Linked DNA regions of Rattus norvegicus. The protein of the gene in region 1 interacts with the protein of each later gene in a pairwise test. Links are inferred from orthologs where the notes say so. Each region holds a gene or a part of one and is shown on either strand. Other genes may lie near its edges.

What was found. The genes of interacting proteins can lie anywhere in the genome.
Region 2: the proteins of Hap1 (region 1) and Taf1d interact in a two-hybrid assay, tested with the Homo sapiens proteins (2 studies listed by BioGRID and IntAct). The link is inferred for Rattus norvegicus from reciprocal best matches to the Homo sapiens genes HAP1 and TAF1D.

The regions. Positions count from the first base shown.
Region 1 is NC_086028.1:85,774,967-85,784,902, reverse strand, and holds the end of Hap1 (huntingtin-associated protein 1), read left to right. Parts: intron 1-154; coding exon 155-271; intron 272-383; coding exon 384-562; intron 563-707; coding exon 708-807; intron 808-912; coding exon 913-979; intron 980-2,215; coding exon 2,216-2,346; intron 2,347-2,632; coding exon 2,633-2,695; intron 2,696-2,976; coding exon 2,977-3,111; intron 3,112-3,203; coding exon 3,204-3,295; intron 3,296-4,399; coding exon 4,400-4,782; coding exon of another isoform or gene 4,783-4,847; exon of another isoform or gene 4,848-5,159; coding exon 5,160-5,314; 3' UTR 5,315-5,367; exon of another isoform or gene 5,368-5,497; 3' UTR 5,498-6,636; downstream 6,637-9,936. UniProt on the Homo sapiens protein: Originally identified as neuronal protein that specifically associates with HTT/huntingtin and the binding is enhanced by an expanded polyglutamine repeat within HTT possibly affecting HAP1 interaction properties.
Region 2 is NC_086026.1:20,430,376-20,439,602, forward strand, and holds the end of Taf1d (TATA box-binding protein-associated factor RNA polymerase I subunit D), read left to right. Parts: coding exon 1-165; intron 166-1,220; coding exon 1,221-1,396; intron 1,397-1,707; coding exon 1,708-1,759; intron 1,760-2,970; coding exon 2,971-3,123; coding exon of another isoform or gene 3,124-3,180; exon of another isoform or gene 3,181-3,818; intron 3,819-3,840; coding exon 3,841-3,867; 3' UTR 3,868-4,420; downstream 4,421-9,227. Other genes in the region: Cep295 (centrosomal protein of 295 kDa), read right to left, coding at 7,728-7,780, 7,895-7,918, 8,008-8,145, 8,224-8,317, 8,409-8,537. UniProt on the Homo sapiens protein: Component of the transcription factor SL1/TIF-IB complex, which is involved in the assembly of the PIC (preinitiation complex) during RNA polymerase I-dependent transcription.

The DNA.
Region 1 (9,936 bases):
ATGAGAAACTGAGTCAGACCCCAGAGTTGGTTAATAGTCTTTGGTTTAGTACTTGGACGGCTGGGTGCTGGGGCAACTTTCTTCTTGTGGCTTAGCCCCTGCTCTCGCCCTCCTGTTTGGGAGAAGTATGGAATGGTTGGCTCTCCTTTTGCAGAAAGAACGGGACCTGAACACAGCCGCTCGCATCGGCCAGTCCCTGGTGAAACAGAATAGTGTTCTGATGGAGGAGAATAACAAGCTGGAAACCATGCTGGGCTCAGCCAGAGAGGAGGTATCTGGGCTCCTAAGGACCAAGAGGAGGGTTCGGCTTGTTCCCTCCCCCAACCAGCACCTGTTCTGCCCCTCCGTGCTCACCTTTCTGCGGCCCCTTTCTCCTGCCCTAGATTTTACATCTCCGGAAGCAGGTGAACCTGCGAGATGATCTCCTTCAGCTCTACTCGGACTCCGATGACGATGAGGAGGATGAAGAGGATGAGGAAGAGGAAGAGGGAGAAGAGGAGGAACGAGAAGGACAGAGGGACCAAGATCAGCAGCACGACCATCCCTATGGTGCCCCCAAGCCGTGCGTGTTCTGCCTTTGTGCCTCGGTTGTCCGTTTGTAAACGGGCATGGGCAGTTAGCCTGCTGGCATTGCCTCGTCTGGGGAAGCCTTGGGGGACTGGGATCCTCCACCCCTTACAGTCTGACTCTCATTGCCCCCTTGCCAGGCCCCCTAAGGCTGAGACGCTGCACCACTGCCCACAGCTGGAAGCCCTGAAGCAGAAGCTGAAACTGCTGGAAGAAGAGAACGACCATCTTCGAGAGGAGGTGAGGACAGGGAGGGGGCGTGCCCTTGGGCAGGGGAGGGTGACTGACGGCGGGGGTGGGGGGGGATGGTGGCGGCCTTACCCCTTCCTATTCCCCTTCCTCCAGGCCTCCCACCTTGACAACCTGGAAGACAAAGAACAGATGCTCATTCTGGAGTGTGTGGAACAGTTTTGTACGTGACACTGTAATCCGGGGAAAGGGCGCTGTCCCAAGAGCTGATAGGAAGAACTCAGGGTTTGGGGTCTGGAGATGCAGTCCTGGCTCCGGCACTTTGCCGCTGTGTTAGCACGGCCAAATTCCTCGGCTTCTCTGAATCTTCATCTTTACAATGAGGACTGATAACCCCGGCCTGCTCTTCATCCCCTCAGGGTTTATGAGGGTCAGGAGAAGCATCACCGTTGAGCATGGAGATGCACTGCACGCATGTAATCTCAGGGAGGGTCAGGTGTTGACGACTCTGGAGGGAAGGGGATGGGCGGGGAGAGCAGGTACTGAGGAAGTAAGATCGATGCAGAAGCTGCGGAGGTCATCATTAAAGTCTGTCTATTATTTGGGACAGTACAAGCAGGGAGGGTGGACAGGACAGTGAGGGGGGAGCCAGGAGCTGTCAGAGCCTGGGCATTTAGGGCCGGGGCAGTTCACAGTCACACATTGGGTCTGAACACCAACTTGGCCTTTGTCAGCCTCTGAGGGCCTCAAGCCTACCTGCTGAGGTGCAGATTCACAGGGGCAGCATTTAGCTTATGGTCTCTGTATCTCATCTCCGTCCTTCCTTCCCCGCAAGCCACAGCTGGCCAGTCTCCGTGTCTCTAGCCCCTGACACCTCATAATGTATGATGGGGTCTCTCTGCCCATCCAGGTCCTTTTTCCCACAGCCAGGATGAGTTTTCTGAAGCCAAATCGGGCTCCATCACTAATGTGACTAAAATTCCAAAATGGCTTCCCATCGGTCCAAGGATAACTTCAACCAGCCCCTTCCCCCACCACTGTGATCTGGTCCCTGCTCACTGCCCTGCCCCACCACCTCACTGCCCATACTCTGTGTCTCTTTCTCTATGTGGTGGGGCTTACAGAGCCAGTGGCTCCTTCCAGGACCCCTCCCAGACTTTGCAGCACTGAGTTGGTCAATGCTCCACCTGTGAGACCCTTTCCTCTGCTCCTCCCTTGACACTGGCTTCATCGTACCTCATACTATTTGGAATTACGAGTTCCCCTGTTTCTACTATGCTGGAACTTGGTGTGGACAAGGATCAGGTCTTACCAAGACATCCCCCAGTCCCCTGCTCTGTTTCAATAAGTGGTTCTTGAAGAAGAAGACCTGGGGGAAGAAGGTCAAAGGCCCTCAGGACCCCTGAGGGGTGTCGGATCCGTGGCTTAGAGCCTCCGCTGATCTGTGCTTGTCCTGTAGCTGAAGCCAGCCAGCAGATGGCAGAGCTATCCGAGGTGTTGGTGCTGAGGCTGGAAGGCTATGAGAGGCAGCAGAAGGAGATCACTCAGCTGCAGGCCGAGATCACCAAGCTACAACAGCGTTGTCAGTCTGTAAGCTGCTCAGCCAGGCCCAAAGCCCTTCCCTGTGTAGGCATCAGAGCTGGCAGAGATAACCAGCGAGCTATTCATCCAGCCCAGTCATGTCCCTAACCAAGTCCACACAGAGAGACTCCTACACGCTCCCAAAACCAGGCTGCATGACCCCCCACTTTAAGACTCCCATCCCTGTGACTTCCTAGGGGGACTGTCAGAGACTCTGATGAGGGAAGACTGTTCGGGTAGGAGGTACCAGAGTGGGAGGCCTTGGGGCCATCTCACACTTTACGGTTTCTTCCAGTATGGGGCCCAGACGGAGAAACTGCAGCAGCAGCTGGCCTCAGAGAAGGGAGTCCACCCAGAGGTGAGGTTCCATGGTTCCCAGATCTGGAAGGCAGGTCCCTGGGGACTACTTGGCTCTCCAGAGAAGACAAGCAACTTCCAGGAAGAGCTTTTCTGCCTTCCACCCTCACTGGCCTATGGCCCAGCAGATATCTGCTTATTTGAGGCCTGAATGGGGTAGAGATCAGGATCTTGTCCAGGGTCACCCAGAATCGCACTGTTTGGGTCTGGAACTGGGGTCTTTGCCTGTGCCTAAAGCAAGGGCAAGCAGAGTACCTGACTGGAAACCCCTGATCCTGACAGAGCCTGCGAGCTGGCTCCCACATGCAGGATTATGGAAGCAGGCCTCGTGAACGCCAGGAGGATGGGAAGAGCCATCGTCAGCGTTCCTCAATGCCTGCAGGTTCTGTCACCCACTATGGATACAGTGTGCCTCTGGTGAGGGTGCTCTTTTACCTCAGTGTGTCCCGTGTTTCAGCCCTGCTTTTTCTGTGAGTGTGGGGGTGGAATGTGTCCCCTCTTTGCTGTAGGATGCACTTCCAAGTTTCCCAGAGACACTGGCGGAGGAGCTCCGGACATCCCTGAGGAAGTTCATCACTGACCCTGCGTATTTCATGGAGAGGTGAGGAACTGGGATCCTCAGGCTTGCTCTGTTCAGCCATGCTCACTTAGGTTCACCCAGTGCCAACCTTCTCTGAGTGGAACATGGTTGACACAAATGTTCGGACCTCCATTGCTTTTCCTGGCCTCCTTATCCTGCCTCACTCACACTACCTGGCTCTGGCTTTTTTCCTTCCTTCCTTCCTTCCTTCCTTCCTTCCTTCCTTCCTTCCTTCCCTCCTCTTCCTCCTCTTCCTCTTCCTCTTCATCCTCTTCCTCCTCCTCTTCCTCCTCCTCCTCTTCCTCCTCCTCTTCTTTTTTGAGATCGGGTTTCTCTGCGTAGCTCTGGCTGTCCTAGAACTCACTCTGTAGATCAGGCTGGCCCTGAACTTAGAGATCTGCTTTCCTCTGCCTTCCCAGGACTGGGGCCACCATGCCTGGCTCCCTGTGACTTTTCAATATGTTTATGCCCCAGGGAATTTGCAGTTTGAGCCCCCTTAGTACACCCAAGGTCCTGTTCTCCGTTTAGGATTTAGTGAGATGGTTATGGGGAAGACATCAGACCTGGGGTAACCTGACTAAGAGATTCCCGACATCTGTCTTCACAGCCACTTGTTGTGGGTTCTGTGTTTGGAAAACTCTGGGAAATCTGTGTTCTTGGGGGAGCTCATCTGCTCGGTATTTTGGTCACGGCTGTGCCCTCTCCCTTCAGGCCTCACCTTTTCTTCACCTTTCTTTTCTTCACCTGACTATGATCTGAGAGGTGAACAGCCCAGCCATTAAAATACCCGATACCCAATCCCCGTTTAGCTCCTTTGTGTCCTTTTGGGCAAGTCATTTGACCCATCCAAGCCTTACTATAATGGATTTATTTCTATGACAACTGCTCTGGGATGAAATATCCCAGTTGCTCGTCTCCAGACAGGGAAGTGGAGAAGAAGGAACCTCTTTGGTGTCCATAACCCTCATTCCTCCTGCTGGGGGCAGGCATGGCTGGGTTTTGGAAGTCTCAAAAATGATCCTCTCTCCCCTCACTCCTAGCTGGGGCAGCCGAGGGGGACTGTCAGGGTCTGTGGAGTAGAGTGGGGTGGCACGTGAGGAAAGACGTCACTGTCTCCTTGCCTAGATGTGACACTCGCTGCAGAGAGGAACGAAAGAAGGAGCAGGGGACAATGCCACCCCCACCGGTGCAAGATCTCAAGCCGCCTGAAGATTTCGAGGCTCCAGAGGAGCTGGTTCCTGAGGAGGAGCTGGGGGCCATAGAAGAGGTGGGGACAGCTGAGGATGGGCCGGCAGAAGAGACAGAGCAGGCATCTGAGGAGACCGAGGCCTGGGAGGAGGTGGAACCGGAGGTGGACGAGGCCACAAGGATGAATGTGGTGGTCTCTGCCCTGGAGGCCAGCGGCCTGGGCCCTTCACACCTGGACATGAAGTATGTCCTCCAGCAACTGTCCAACTGGCAGGACGCCCATTCTAAGCGGCAGCAGAAGCAGAAGGTGGTCCCGAAAGGTGAGTGTTCCCGCAGAGGACACCCTCCTGCCAGTGGGACAAGCTACCGATCATCAACCCTATGAGAGGTGAGAGTAGGTGAGACCCCCCACCCCCAAGGGCTCACTTACCTCACCTTGGTCCCACTCGGTGTGCTGATTTGCATGGACTTTGCATACTATTTGCATAGTATTTACATACTTGCCTCCAGTCCCCCTTGGCTAGAACTGCTGCCTCAGTGTTTATTTATGCAAAATTTGCTTACAAGTCCAGCTATCCATCCACCTTCTTCCTGGGGGGGCTGAACTGGGAATCAGGGTTGGACTATACACTCCTTTGTACCTCAACTTCCTGTCTCTGCCCATCCTCTCCCTATCCCCAATTCCTCTACCCTCAAGACTCCCCAGCCCCGCAGCAGCAAACAAACATGGGGGGCGGGATCGTGGAGCAGCAGCCCATAGTGCCGACCCAGGACTCTCAGAGGCTGGAGGAGGACAGGGCCACTCACTCTCCCAGTGCCAGGGAGGAAGAGGGGCCTTCTGGGGCCACCTAGGCCTGGAACGAAGGCCTCTGCCAGCAAAGGCCACAGTTGGACCAATCCCCCGGGTGAGTGTGGGGCTCCCGCAGGGTGGTAGGGGCGGGTCAGGGTCTCCTCTGCCTATCTGGAAACCCCAGTTCCTAGGAGATGCTGTCCGTGAAATCAGATGATTTAGCATTGGATCTCTTTCTGTGTTAGCTCCTTTCGTCTTCTGGCCCTGTGGGTGGGTGGATGTGATTGTGCACCATTTATTAGAAGAGGAATCTGAAGTTCAGAGATCTGAGATGACTTGGCCAAGGTCATACAGCTAGGAGCAGATCTGAGCCGGTGTCTCTTGAGGACTGAAACCCTGGCCTGGTCTCACTGCCGTCCACACCTCCTCCTGCTCCCGTCCTTGAGCTCCACCTGAAGCTTTGGCAGCCTCCCTCATGTCGGTCTGTTGCCATTTTTGGGGGGCACCAGTGAGTGGAACATCACTGGCTGCAGCACAGTCAGATCATGCAGGTTGTAAGCTGAGTCAGCACACCCGTGGCTGACCACGGGAGACCGGGAGACCTGAGTAACGGCTAGCGGTGGCTTTCTGTTGTCTCCTGACCCGGCTGACTGGGTTTGAGGGTGATCTGTCTCCCGGTTCACCCCCTTCTCTTCCTGGCTTTGCTGTTTCTCAGCAGCCTGAAGAAGACCCTCAGACAGCTCGAGACCCCTCCTTCCACTGCCTGGCCAAGTCCGACCCTTCCTTGCTTTCCTCTGAGACAGGACCCCCACCCCCATGTCTGTCAGCAGTTCTCCCTCTGTCTTGATAGATCTTTCCCCTCTTGTAGGACAGGCTGAAAGAACCCCAGTCCCTCATTCTGAAACTGGGGCCAAAGCTGTGCCTGCTGGAGCCCCAGGGGGTGGAAGCAACCTGTGGGTAGATTGGTTGGTTACCAGACCCAGCTCTGAGATGGTGTGGGTGCGCACATCCCTAGGGTAGGCAGTTATTGGGGGGACCCTTTCTATCCCTTGAACCTCTCACGTAAAGGGACTTCCCCAGTCCTGGTTGGCTTTTGGAACCTGGTCCTTCTTGCTGTTTTTTACCCTTCCCCGTTTCTATTACTGCGTGTAACGTAAAGTGTATCTGAGTGAGGGTGGTGGGAACCCTCTGTCCAGTGCTGTCTCTGTCTCCTATGGCCTGTGAGTTTCCTTCTAGAGTTCTACTCTTCTCCACCTCTTTGCTCATACAGAGCTGTGGCCTTGGCGCCTGCCCTGCTTCTGCAGTGCTTCATTGTCTCGTAGCTTGTCAGCTTTTGTATTGATGTATGTGCCAATGTGGGAAATAAAGACCTTGTGAGATACCTGCCCTGTCTCAGTTGTGTTCCTTAGGGAAGGCGATGTGTGTGCGTGCATGTGTGTGTGTGTGTGTGTGTGTGTGTCTGTGTATGAGTGTATGAGTGTGTATGCCTGTGTATGAGTGTGTGTGTATGAGTGTGTGTGTATGGGTGTCAGTGTGTGTGTATGAGTGTGTGTGCCTGTATATGAGTGTGTGTATGTGAGGGTGTGTATGAGTGTGTGTGAGTGTGTATGTATGTGTGCCTGTGTATGTGTATATGTGTGAGTATGTGTGCCAATGTGTGTGTGTGTGCCTGTGTATGTGTGTATGTGTGAGTATGTGTGCCAGTGTGTGTGTGTGTGCCTGTGTATGTGTGTATGTGTGAGTATGTGTGCCAGTGTGTGTGTGTGTGTATGTGTGTGTGTGTGTGTGTGTGTGTGTGTGTGTGTGTGTGTACTGTTTGGGAACAGAGCTGCGGAGAGAAGACTGATTGATATCGGTTGACATGCCAATGACTTTGTACTAAGTATAAATGCATGTAACCCATGACAGTGAGGTGCCAGATGATGTGATGTGAATTTGAAGGTGGTGAAACTGAGACTCAGGCAGGTTCAGTAATCAGGGGTTGAAGAGCTGGTGGTAGTGCTGAGTTGAGCCCAGTTTTTGAAGCTGACTAGGCTCTCTTTCCTGACCCATCTGCCTCTGTCCCCGTGCTCTAGTTTAACAGATAAACTGTGTGTGTGTGTGTGGGGGGGTGGGTGGGTGCCATCTGGCTTAGGTCAAACACCCTAAACCTGGAATAGGAATAAGCAGGTCACTTTGAAGACACTGCAGAAAATAGTCTTAGGTAGTGGATAAGTAACAAGAAGCTAACATGGAGAAGTTTGAGACAAGGAAGCCCAGTGGTCTACCTGCTATGCTAAGCTTTTAACTTACAAGATTTGGGGGTGATTCTTCATCTCTAAAGCATAATGATCCACTAAATGTTCTTTTAAAAAGCTTAGGGGGTTGGGGATTTAGCTCAGTGGGGTTGGGGATTTAGCTCAGTGGCAGAGCGCTTGCCTAGGAAGCGCAAGGCCCTGGGTTCGGTCCCCAGCTCCGAAAAAAAGAACCAAAAAAAAAAAAAAAAAAAAAAACTTAGATCAGTTAGTTGGTGTGTTCAGTATATCTCTAGGAATCCCCCAAATCTTAAAACAGTTGCAATGTTCCTCCGAGTCTGAGTGGTGATTACACCCTTAATCCCAGCACTTGGGCGTCAGAGGCAGGAGGATCTCTACGAGTTCAAGGTCAGACTGGTCTACCTAGTAAGTTCCAGGACGGCCAGGGCTACATAAGGCCTATCTCAAAAACCCAAACAAAAAAAGTTTAAGTTTAAACAGACCTGTGAGAGCCAAGGTGAGAGCCAAGGCAAGTCTCACCTACAAGTCTTGTAGGAAGGGAAGTTGTCTACTTGCAGTTTATAGCACTATGTGGTAAACACGCAGGGTTGCCTCCCCACTCCCACCCCCCTTCTTTTTGAAACTGTGGCTGACTTGGAACTCAATATGTAGACCAGGCTGGCCTCAAATCCACAAAGAGTTGATTGTCTTTGCCTCTCGAGTAGTGGGATAAAGGCATGTGCTCCCCCTCCCCCCAACCCATCCCTCCAACTGGCCTTACTTTAAGCTACTAGCTGGTTATAGCATCTTAAAGAAAAAAACTAGGAACAGTAGAACATAGCCGCAATTTCGGCTCTCAGAGGCAGAAATGGGTAGATCTGGAGTTCAAGGCTTGTTTGGGCTCTACAGCCAGACCTTATTATCTCAAGCAAAAAGCAGAGAGGTTGCCCAGCGGGTAGGAGTGTTTGCTGTGCAAGCCTGAATACCTGGAATTCCCAGCACCATGGAGACCAGGGGCTTTGCTGGGGCTTTGGGGCTATGAGTTTAGTTCAAGGTTGACTGAGAGGCTCTGTCTTTAGGCATAAGGCAGAGATTATGAAGCAGGACACTGATAGCCTTCTCTGGTCTCTGAGTGCATGGACGGATGCGTGCACCTGCATATACACACACGCACCACACATATACATACTAACACTCCCAAGAAAAGGACAACCAGACCCAATGTGTACTGTGACATGTATGTGTACATGTGTATACACACACGTGTATACATAAATAAATGTAATGACTTGTTGGGTATCGTGGTGAATGCCTTTAATCCCACCACTTGGGAGGCAGAGGCAGGTGGATCTTGAGGTGGAGGTCAGCCTGGTTTCCATAGCGGCAGGTTCTAAGTCAGCCAGAGCCATACTGTGAGACCTTGTCTCAAAAACAAACAAAACCAAAAACACAAACCAAGGGTAGCCAGAGGACAAATGGTATAGAATGGTATAGGTGGTGCTTGTCCATCCAGAACCCTAAATGATCCTTGTAATGCCTTCCCTCTATTGTTCTGCATTCTCCTCCCTGAGAGCCCTCCAGTGGTCCACCTTGTCTTCCTCATGGGACGGCCTGAATCTTCACTTCTGAGTAATCTGAACCTTGGTCCCACTGCCTTTGTCAGGCCAGGTCGTTCAAATTTCCTACTTATGTTTATTTTGTGACTGGAAACACAGAGCCTCTAGACATGACTCTTCTTGTCCTGAGGCGAGGCTTTCCCTCATGGAAAGCGGGGACAATGACCTGTAGGTTCTTAGTTCTTTCTAAACCCACTTTATTTAGGCTTCTAGAATGCTTCAATCCCCCTTCTAGCCCACTGACCAGAGAGGTAGGGAAGAAGAAGGCTTATAGGAATGGGAGTTGTGGAACCTGTTTAGACGTAGTTCTTTGGGGGCGTTTCCACTCTTTGTTGCCAGGGTAACAGCAGTCCAGTCCAATAGCAAACAGCAAACATGAATCAGTAGCAGCGGCTCGATCCAGCAGAAACTTCGAGGTTGTGCAGAGTCGGTATGAGTCAGCAGAGACGACAAGTATCAGTGGGAATACCGTGAGAAGTTCCTTGCTGCTTTTCTCTCTACAGAATGAAGGCCGGCAAAGACCAGGGAAGCGTTGCAAGGCATAACAGTGCAAGAGCATCCTTTCATGATCTGTGTGACTTCATGATCTTAGACTCTTTCAAACGTCTTGCACCCTCACAAGTGTCTGCTTCAGCCAAACGTCCTCTCCTGTGTCTGTTTCAGGAAAACATCCTCTCACTAGACAGCTTCCAGAAAAATGTCACATAACCTCTCACAAGACAGATCCCAGAGAAACATCCCGTGACACAACTGAGCTTCCAAAGAAACCAGAAATATCCATTTCAGTAACCTCTGATAGTCCCTAACCTTTCCTTTGTCCTGCAGATAGGAAGT
Region 2 (9,227 bases), on another chromosome or scaffold:
TATAAGCCAAAGTTAAGACGACAAGGAAGACCATCTGGAACGAGGAACATTAGAAGGTCACAAATAGATGCAAAACAAATTAAAGACAAAGGAGCTGTGTTTCCATTCTTAGAATCTGAAAGTGGAAGAAAGACTTTACCTTGGAAGAAAATTTTAACATATGAGGTGAGTGATTTTTTTTTTTAATGTAGGTGAATACATTAAGTAGGATGGAATGGTTTGTTGGTCATTCTTTTTTCTTTTAAAAGATTGATTATATATAAATACACTGTAGCTGTCTTCAGACACCAGAAGGCATAGGATCCCCATTTCAGATGGTTGTGAGCCACCATGTGGTTGCTGGAATTTGAACTCAGGACCTCTGGAAGAGCAGTCAGTGCTCTTAACCACTGAACCGTCTCTCCAGCCCTTGTTGGCCATTCTTAATTGTCTGAGGGACACCTGGAACAGATCTATGCAAAGTGCTCCATTCTTCATCTCACCTGTATCACTAGTGAGAGAAATAACCACAACCATTATTTATCAGTGTCACACAGATTAAGGTAGTTGTACTCCAAGTTTCCTTATACAGAGTCCCTTCAAACAACTGAAGCATATCATACCCAACTTTTTTTTCAGCAGTAGTGAAACGTGACATTACAAGGTGAGCAGGTATGGAATCACTTCTTAAGGCCCAGTTTTTGAAGAACCTAAGAAAGGTGGAGAATAGGACCATGAAGGAAGCTGCTGCTCATGTGTACTGTTAGCCTAGAGCCCTTGCTTGTAATGGTAATGCCCACAATCTAGGCAACCACTATCCAAAAATAAAGCAGTGTCTTGGTTGAGGATCCATTCTCAGGTTATTCTGTGTCAAATTGACAGTTAGGTTAACTAGGACAAGAGCAGGGGAGAAAACCCAAGTAGCCAGCTACTCAGGTTTTTCAGGTGTTTGAGCATTAAATGTTAAATGATTAGAATGGTTGAATTAGTGTCTGCTTTGCGTTTTTCTTTGTGTGTGCACATGCAGACATAGCATCTTCCTATTCACCTTGTTCCTATGTACTGTCTTCACTCCCCAAGTCTGGAACCGTCATGCACAGAGCATTTACATGGTTTCTGTGCATTCAGATCTGGTCCCTTTGATGAACAGCAAGCCATTGTCCAGCCCCTTGGTATAGTGTCAAGCTTGATTAAGTATTTGATGTTTTAATATTTAAGGAATTGTGTTTTCTAACTTGCAGCAAGCAGTTGCAAGAGGATTTTTTCACCACATTGAAAAACTCAAGTATGAACACCACCTTAAGGAATGCTTGAGCCAAATGCATGCTGGGGAAGATTTAGAAAAGGAAGACTTTGACAGCCGTAGACACAAGTACATGGATGATGATGGTCCGCTTTCTCCTATTGAAGAGCCGTCGTAAGTTGGATTTGTCCATGGAACTTGTAGTTCTCTAAGCTCATTTAAAGACAGTCTCACTACTGTATAGCTGGCTAGGGCTGAACACACATGTACCGAGTGCTGGGATTAAAGGCAAGTGCCATCTATAAAATGAGTATCTTATAAGATTCTGCAATAGTAATCATAACTTCTAGTAAATTTAGGATTGTTTACTCTGAGGTATGTGCATAGGACATCAGTTTGGGAAGGTAGTGGTTTTCTTTGGTTTCAGCGATATCCGAATACTAGGTGACTAATGACTAAATGGCTCATTTCATTTCATGTTACAGAACTGAAGATGAAGCAACAGATCCTCAGTCTGAATGTGATATTAAGTTGGTTGTAAGTGGCCGAGTTTTATTATCTCATTTACGGAATGTAGAAGTTATATACTATTTGGAAATTTCATTTAAACTTTTTTTTTTTTTTTTTTTGGTTCTTTTTTTCGGAGCTGGGGACCGAACCCAGGGCCTTGCGCTTCCTAGGCAAGCGCTCTACCACTGAGCTAAATCCCCAGCCCCTCATTTAAACTTTTAAGAGTGAAACTGCTTACTATTTAGGATATTTGGTACCGAGGGCTTTTTATGTTTTTGTGGCTCTTCCTCTTAGCTCCAAGTATTGGGGTTCAGAGCCTTGCCTGCATTAATGACAAGGCATACTGCTGAGTTATAACTCAAGCTTTGAATATTTGTGTATAGGGTATGTATGTATCTGCATGTTGGTATGAGTATACATTTATGGAGTCCAGAATTTGGTCTGGCCTCTTGACCACAACCTAGTGGATTAACCTATAGCAAAGTTTTTGCTCTGCTATTACTGGCTTACAAAATGGTGCCCGTGCCTGGCTCCAATATTAACACTAAAAATTCACCAGGTGTATGTTGGTGTCTGGGTAGGCTAGAAGAGGTGCAGTTGGATCCCTTAAACTGGAATTTTGGTGCACATTGTGGGTGCATAGAATTTTCTTAGTCCTTTGCAGTAAGAAAAGAAGACAATGTTGTGGATTATTTTTGTATTTTTGTTTTTATAAGTGTGAGTGTTCTATCTGAATGTATACCTGATTAATGGAAGAGGGCACCAGGTCACATTACAGATGGTTATGAGCCACCATGTTGTTGTTGGGAATTGAAGGCAGGACTCCTGAAAGAACAGCCACTGCTCTTACTTAACTGCTGAGGCATCTCTCTAGCCCTGTGAAAATCCAGTGTGCTTAGCCACTGAACCATCTCTAGCTCCTGATAAAATAACATTTAGCAAGTCTGGTGTGCAGTCAAATGAGAAAATAGTGCTGGTGTAGTGAGGAATAGATTTATACTTGTGGGCTGAAAGATGACTCAGTACTGGGTTAAGAGCACTGACTGCTCTTCCAGAGGTCCTGAGTTCAAGTCCCAGCAACCACATGGTGGCTCACAACCATCTGTAATGGGACTGATGCCCACTTCTGAAAGCACCTACACTGTATATAATAAATAGATAATAAATTTAAAAAAAAAGATTTATACTAACCCACAGTCAGTGGTGAGTTTAGTTACTAATTTTTCTTTTAAATGCAGGAAGACAGTTGCTTTATAATAAGTACAGAATTCCCAAGGAAGAGAAACTTAGAACAAGAAAAGATTAAGAAAGAATCTGCATTCTCTAAAAAGAGCAAAGCCAAGGATGCCACACAGAGAGGGAACAGGAGGTCCTGGAAAGGAGGTGAACATGTGAGTATCGAGGAAGGTAAAGAGCACGGGATTGTCTTGTGTATGTCAAGAAGATGAAGGAACAAAAATCACTGAACAATCTGGGAAAGAAAATAAACTTGCTGGGGGGAGCTAGCAAAACACTTGGGAAAGCTCTTTTCAGTGCTGATTTCAGAGTAAGAAATCCTTCCTATAGGGATTATTCTATTACAGCAAGTACGACTTTTCTGGAAGGAAAATGCTAACAAAAATCCTATATGTGGCTAGTTTCAAGAACTCCAGCCTCTTCAGTGCTTAGCCCAAACTAACTTATAAAAAAGAATTACTTCATATTTGTGTATTTTGCCTACATGCATATGTGTGGAGTATGCACCATGGCCTGTGGATCTCAAGTTACAGGATGGTAATTAGCTATTGTGGGGGTGATGTGAGCTGAACCACAATTCTATCTACAAGAGTGTTCTTACCTTGTAACACTGGCCTTGTGCCAGTATATACATACAGCTTTGTTGGCTAGCACTTGTGTTTGTTTTTGTTCAGCTGTTGGACAAAGGCAGGTTGACAGGTGCAAAAAACAAATCCTCTTTTGCAACCCAGAACTCATTGTTCAGTATGAGTTTTGATACATACAAGAAGGAATATAAGCACAACGGTGTTACTGATGAGGCTGTTTCTAGCAATGTTCTGTGTGATTTATCCTATAAAGGTAATGATAGATGAATATTCCTTTCTTTAAAGGCTTGCCTTCATTCTGAAGTCAGTTAAAAGATGCCCATGAATGGATGTTTGTTTCAGTGTTGTAAGTAGCATGTCAATTTACATCTTCACAGTATGTTAGCTTGAAGTAAGTGATGCTATTTCTATGAAAGTTTTAGAGTACTCCAATCCTTAGGAAATCCTAGAACATTAGAATCAATAATTTGAACTGAGATAAGTAAAGAAGGCTATAAGGTCTTATACTCAATTTATAATATTATAAACTTTTCTCAAGCATGGTTTATAAATTATAACAAATTTGTAACATCACAAATAATAATGTTTGAAAAGTATGAGTTAACTAAAATAGGTACTATTCTAAAAAATCAGGTTGCCCATAAGGCTCTTCATGAAAATTCAGTTTTATGCTGGCACTTAAATTATCTTTAATCTGCCTGATGTAATTGTCTCTGAGCCTTACTGCCTTTTTGCTAAATGAAGGCCTAGTCTTGGAAGCTTCTAGCCTCTGCACAATCTGATTTAGGCCTAGAATGTTTTCAGCCTCTGAGACTTAACTGCTGAATAAATAATCTCACACTTTTCTTGTTCTTACTGAATTTTTGTCTGGTTTAACAAAGCTGTTGTGGTTCATACTCTAACAAGGTGACTGATTTAGTCTGACTTCTGCCTCAAACTACCTTGCAATTTGTTCTGATATTTTGGGCTCCTCTCTCTTGGCATATTCTGTATTTACCTGTGTCTAGCTTGTTCTTTCTGCACCTGTCTTTAAATCTGTCATTTTGTCTGCCACTCAATTAGACTTCTTTTGAACATGGGTTGTTTCTAGTTATGTATGTGCTAAGGGTATGTCAGTATTCCAGCCAGCGTAACCATGTTGCTGGATTAAAATCCCTGTACAGTAAAAGTGAGTTTGAGAGCTCCGGACTGTAAGAATGTATAACCTTAAGCTTAAGCTAGGCAAATCTCCTGAGATTACTTTGTGATTTCCTAAGTTCCTATTAATAGACGTCCATAAAAGGTAGCTGGAGAGAGAGCTTCATGATTGTTGGATGCTTTTGAGGTCTATCCCGATGGGGCTTCGTTAGTAGCCACACATCGTTGGAAACGCCTCATATAGTAACTTGTGGTTTTGCTTGACTCGCAGGACTGTTTGTTAGGTCTGTGGGAAGGAACTACAAGACAGCTAACAAAGTACAAAACTGATGTGCAATTTTGGTTTTGTTTCTAGAAGCACTGGCATTTCCTTCATAAAGATTAGGATTCTGAGTGTTAGGTGAGTTTTAGTGACTCTGCAATTTTGGGGAAGTATAGCTACAGTTCAGATGATGAATTAAACTGTTCAACTGCTGTATGATACAGACATGAACTAAAATTTAATTCTGACAGAACTGGTTACAGGTGTTAGGTTGGAGTAAACTTTAACTGTAGTTTCTAATAAAGTCATATGTACTGTTCTCCAGGAATGGACATGAAAGACTCTACAGAGATGTTGGTAAGTAAGTATAAAACTAGATTTCTGTTGGGTTTTAATATGATAAATTAAAAATCTCCAGGGGTAATGTGTAAGTTCTCAGCAAGAACATTTGCTCTGTGTGTACAAGCTAGGAAGTACTTTCTTGGGCTGGAGAGATGGTTCAGTGGTTAGGAGCACTGACTGCTCTTCCAGAGGTCCTGAGTTCAAATTCTAGCAACCACACGGTGGCTCACAACCATCTGTTAATGGGGATCTGGTGTGTCTGAAGACAGCGACAGTGTACTCAGAGACATAAAATAAATAAATCTTTTTTAAAAAAGTACTTTGTGCTAGGCTAGTTCATCTTTTAGATTCCAGATTAAAATGATTAGAGAAATGCTCATTCAGTAGGGATATTGAGTTCTTTTTAAAAGAAACCATGTACTAGTTCCACACCTGTAATTATAGGAGTCTGATGTGGGAAGCAGGGAAACTTCTCAGAAAATAAAATTCTTGGTTAGGTAAATGGCACAGTGGATATATAGTTCAAAACCGTAGCAACCAGGTAGATACGGTAGCTGAATCTGGAAGTTCTGACTTTAGTGAGAAACTCTAAGGTGGATAGTGTGATCAAGGAAGGTAATCAATCATCAGTATGTGTGCATGAATGTATGTACAAAGAACATTAAATCTTTTGATTTGAGCACTTTTTCCATTTGTGGGGGATTTTGGCTGAGATGGAACTCTAAATTTCCTGTCCACCTTTAGCCCCCTCAGAATGTGAATTTATGTTAACATTTAAAAAGTTAGCTTCTTTATTAGCACAGGGATTGAGAGTGCTATAGAGACTTTGCACTGCATGGTATCTGCACTCAGCAGTTCTTTCCTGTTGGGTGTTCAAAAGACAGTGCGATAGAAATTCATTATCTGGCATCGTTGGTTTCTTGGCTTTGTGCATGTTAAACCTGGTATTTCTAATGATACAGTTTATTTCATATGTACATATTTCTTCTGGATGTGGGTTCTGGGGAATAATTGGTCTTTAAAACTTGGTTGCCTGCTGAGTGAACCATTCCTTTTCTTCCTAGGGCGTCACAAGGGAAACCTACCTTAAAATGGTAAGACATTTTTCTGTTTCTAGCTGTCTTTACTTGAGTAGATGACACGTATGAGACTCAAGAACTAAGCCTCATTGTACATAAAAATGGGCATTGTTGTTGGCCAGTGTCCAGTGTCAATGTGGCTACATTAAGATACAGGTCATGCTTCCATCACAGCAGATTAAATGACAGTGGTGACAATGAGACCTGCAACATTTGTCTACTACCCTCCAGTGAAGACATGTCAATTCATTTTATATTTTCTTATGACCAATCTTACAGGTTTTTAAAGCTAATTGAAGAAGGGTCCCTAAATTAAAGTAAATTGAAGAAATCCACAAATCTTCTGGTAAGATGTGGACTTTGAAACCTTGTGAGATGATAATACTGAAATTCACTGCTAAGATTTGAAAAAAACAGTACTACCATAAATGATGTTGTGATGATGGGCAAAATGTTCAACTGCTCTGAATGGGCTGAATGAAAGTAGCCTTTCTGAACATCTGTGTTGGGTAGATAGATTCTGTGTATGCAGACCTGCTGACTGACTCCCCTAAACTGTGGGAATATTCTTTGAATCTGGCATCATGTAGAATTAAAAATTTTAATTCTTTGAAACATATTTTCTCCCACAGGCTAAGAACTTAGAAGTTGCCAATGACTGTTGGAAAAGACAGATAAAAGAGGCAAGTAATAGCCATTTATTTTTACAATGGTCATTACCAAGGCTTTTAGAATGCAGTTTCTCATTTGCTGTGGACATGACCATAAAGAAAAATTCCCATTAGGTTTTCCATATGCTACTTGAGTAGCACTTAACCTGTTGGGAACATTTTTTGAGCAAATCTTTATCCAGTTGTTACTTTATATGTAGATGGTTCTAGAATACTGACTACTCATCCCATTACTCCCATGTTCTTATTATGCAGGGCTAAAAATAAAAAGCACAACTGGATGCCCTTGAGGAAAGGTATGTGTATGGGAAGCGGGTAGCGAAGGTCATTTCAAAGAGGGCTTGGTGGCTGTAAAACCAAAAGCTCTTAACGCTGTGACCAAAGATTGATGTTCTTCACAGAGCAGACCATGCACTTTGTGATAGTGCTGTTTTTCTGAGAAGATAACATGCATTTCCCTGAATCACAATTTATCATTAATTTCATTTTGTCTCTTTTAGGGCTATTTTCAGAGTGCCTGGATGGACAGCAAAGAAATCAAACCAACCACTTAAATAAAAATTTATTGACAATAAATAATTTTATACATTAAAAAAGAACCCTTAACACAATTTGTAGGAAGTCAGTATGTATTTTTGGCTTGACTTGTGCTTTCTGTAGAAAAACAGCTTGTCTTCATACTTATATACACTGGCTCCTGTTTCTCTTTGCTGTTTCATCTCCACTAACAGCCTCTGTAAGAGAAATTTGTGTAATTAGATAGGCACATGTAGCAAAACACTAGAAGCAAGCAAAAAAAGCCTTTTGGTACACGAGGGCTCAGGTAGCCTTTCTTCCTTGACACTAACCTTTCAGGTGGCTCAAGGATGAACCTGAAAAGCAGTGATTAATGGGTTGAGTCTAAAAAATACTTAAGCTTAAATACTTAAATCTCTACTGTAGATCATACAGTAGAACATACTTGTAGATAGCTTCTCTTTGGATACTTTGGCTTGAGGGAGCGGAGTTTTATTCCAGATCTCTCTCTGTCTCTGGTAGGATCGTTCCATAAATGTCTTTTTTCTTTTCATGAATGCTTCCCCCAAACTACCTGGTATAGCTGTAATATTTGAAAAAAGTTATTCATGGTTTCACCTCATCATCAGTGGATGTTGTATCAGGCTTATAAGGGAGGTACCTGAAGATGCCACTGTGGGTTGGTCCGCCCAAGGCTCTGATGCAGCTCCACAAAAGGTGGTTTCCACTGAAGACGAAGGCTGCACTGCACCTGCCTATTAGTAAGAAAGTTATTGGCTTGTTTTCCTCCCAGCATCAGCAGCCCCATGAACAGCCTGGTCTAGCAGCTCTGGTGAAGGCATTTACCTGAGAACACTGTGCTTCATTGTCTTCAATGGTTAAGTTTGCAAGATCTGTGTCAGTGATGCTGATGTCACTCGTACTCAATAGAGTGAGATCTGGTTCTTCCATTATGCCATAACCAGTTTCTGTTTCCTGTTTTAACAAGTGAAAGTGAGGAACTGTCCTGCATAATGCTTATATGGAACTCATACACATCTGCCTATCTGCATTCCATTGTGTGTGTCTGTGCAGGAGTGTCACACCCTGTCATGAAAAGCTCTTAGGTTAACTCCTGTCCTTGGCCTGCCTGGGTTTTTGTTCAATTTTTACTCTAGTTTAATTTAGAAGGTGAATGTAGACTTTCAATGACTTTTAGAAACTGTCCACAATTTAAATATTCACAATAAGCATATGTCAGGCTGAAAACTCTCACAGGATGCAGGTGAACAGCCCATTTCACCCAAAAGTATGCACACTATCCCAAATCAGTGTAGCTTATCTGGCCTGCATCCTTACTAACTGGACACTTTCAACCTACTTTAGGTAGGGATGAAAAGTATTCACAAAATCTAAATGTAAACTTAAAATGTAGCCAGAAGAGGAATAGCTCTTGAAGAGTGGGAAACCCCAAAAGATTAAGAAACAAACACTATGTAAAACAGAATATAAAACAAAATCCTAGATAAACCCTTACCCCTAGGAGACATAACAGAATCTGAGGGAAAAAAATCAGATCCTATTACAAAAGCCTATACTGGAAAATCAGGAGGAAATGGGAACAAATAAGCCATCTAAACAACCCTATAACTCCAAAAGAAATAGAAGCAGTTCTTAAGTCTCCCA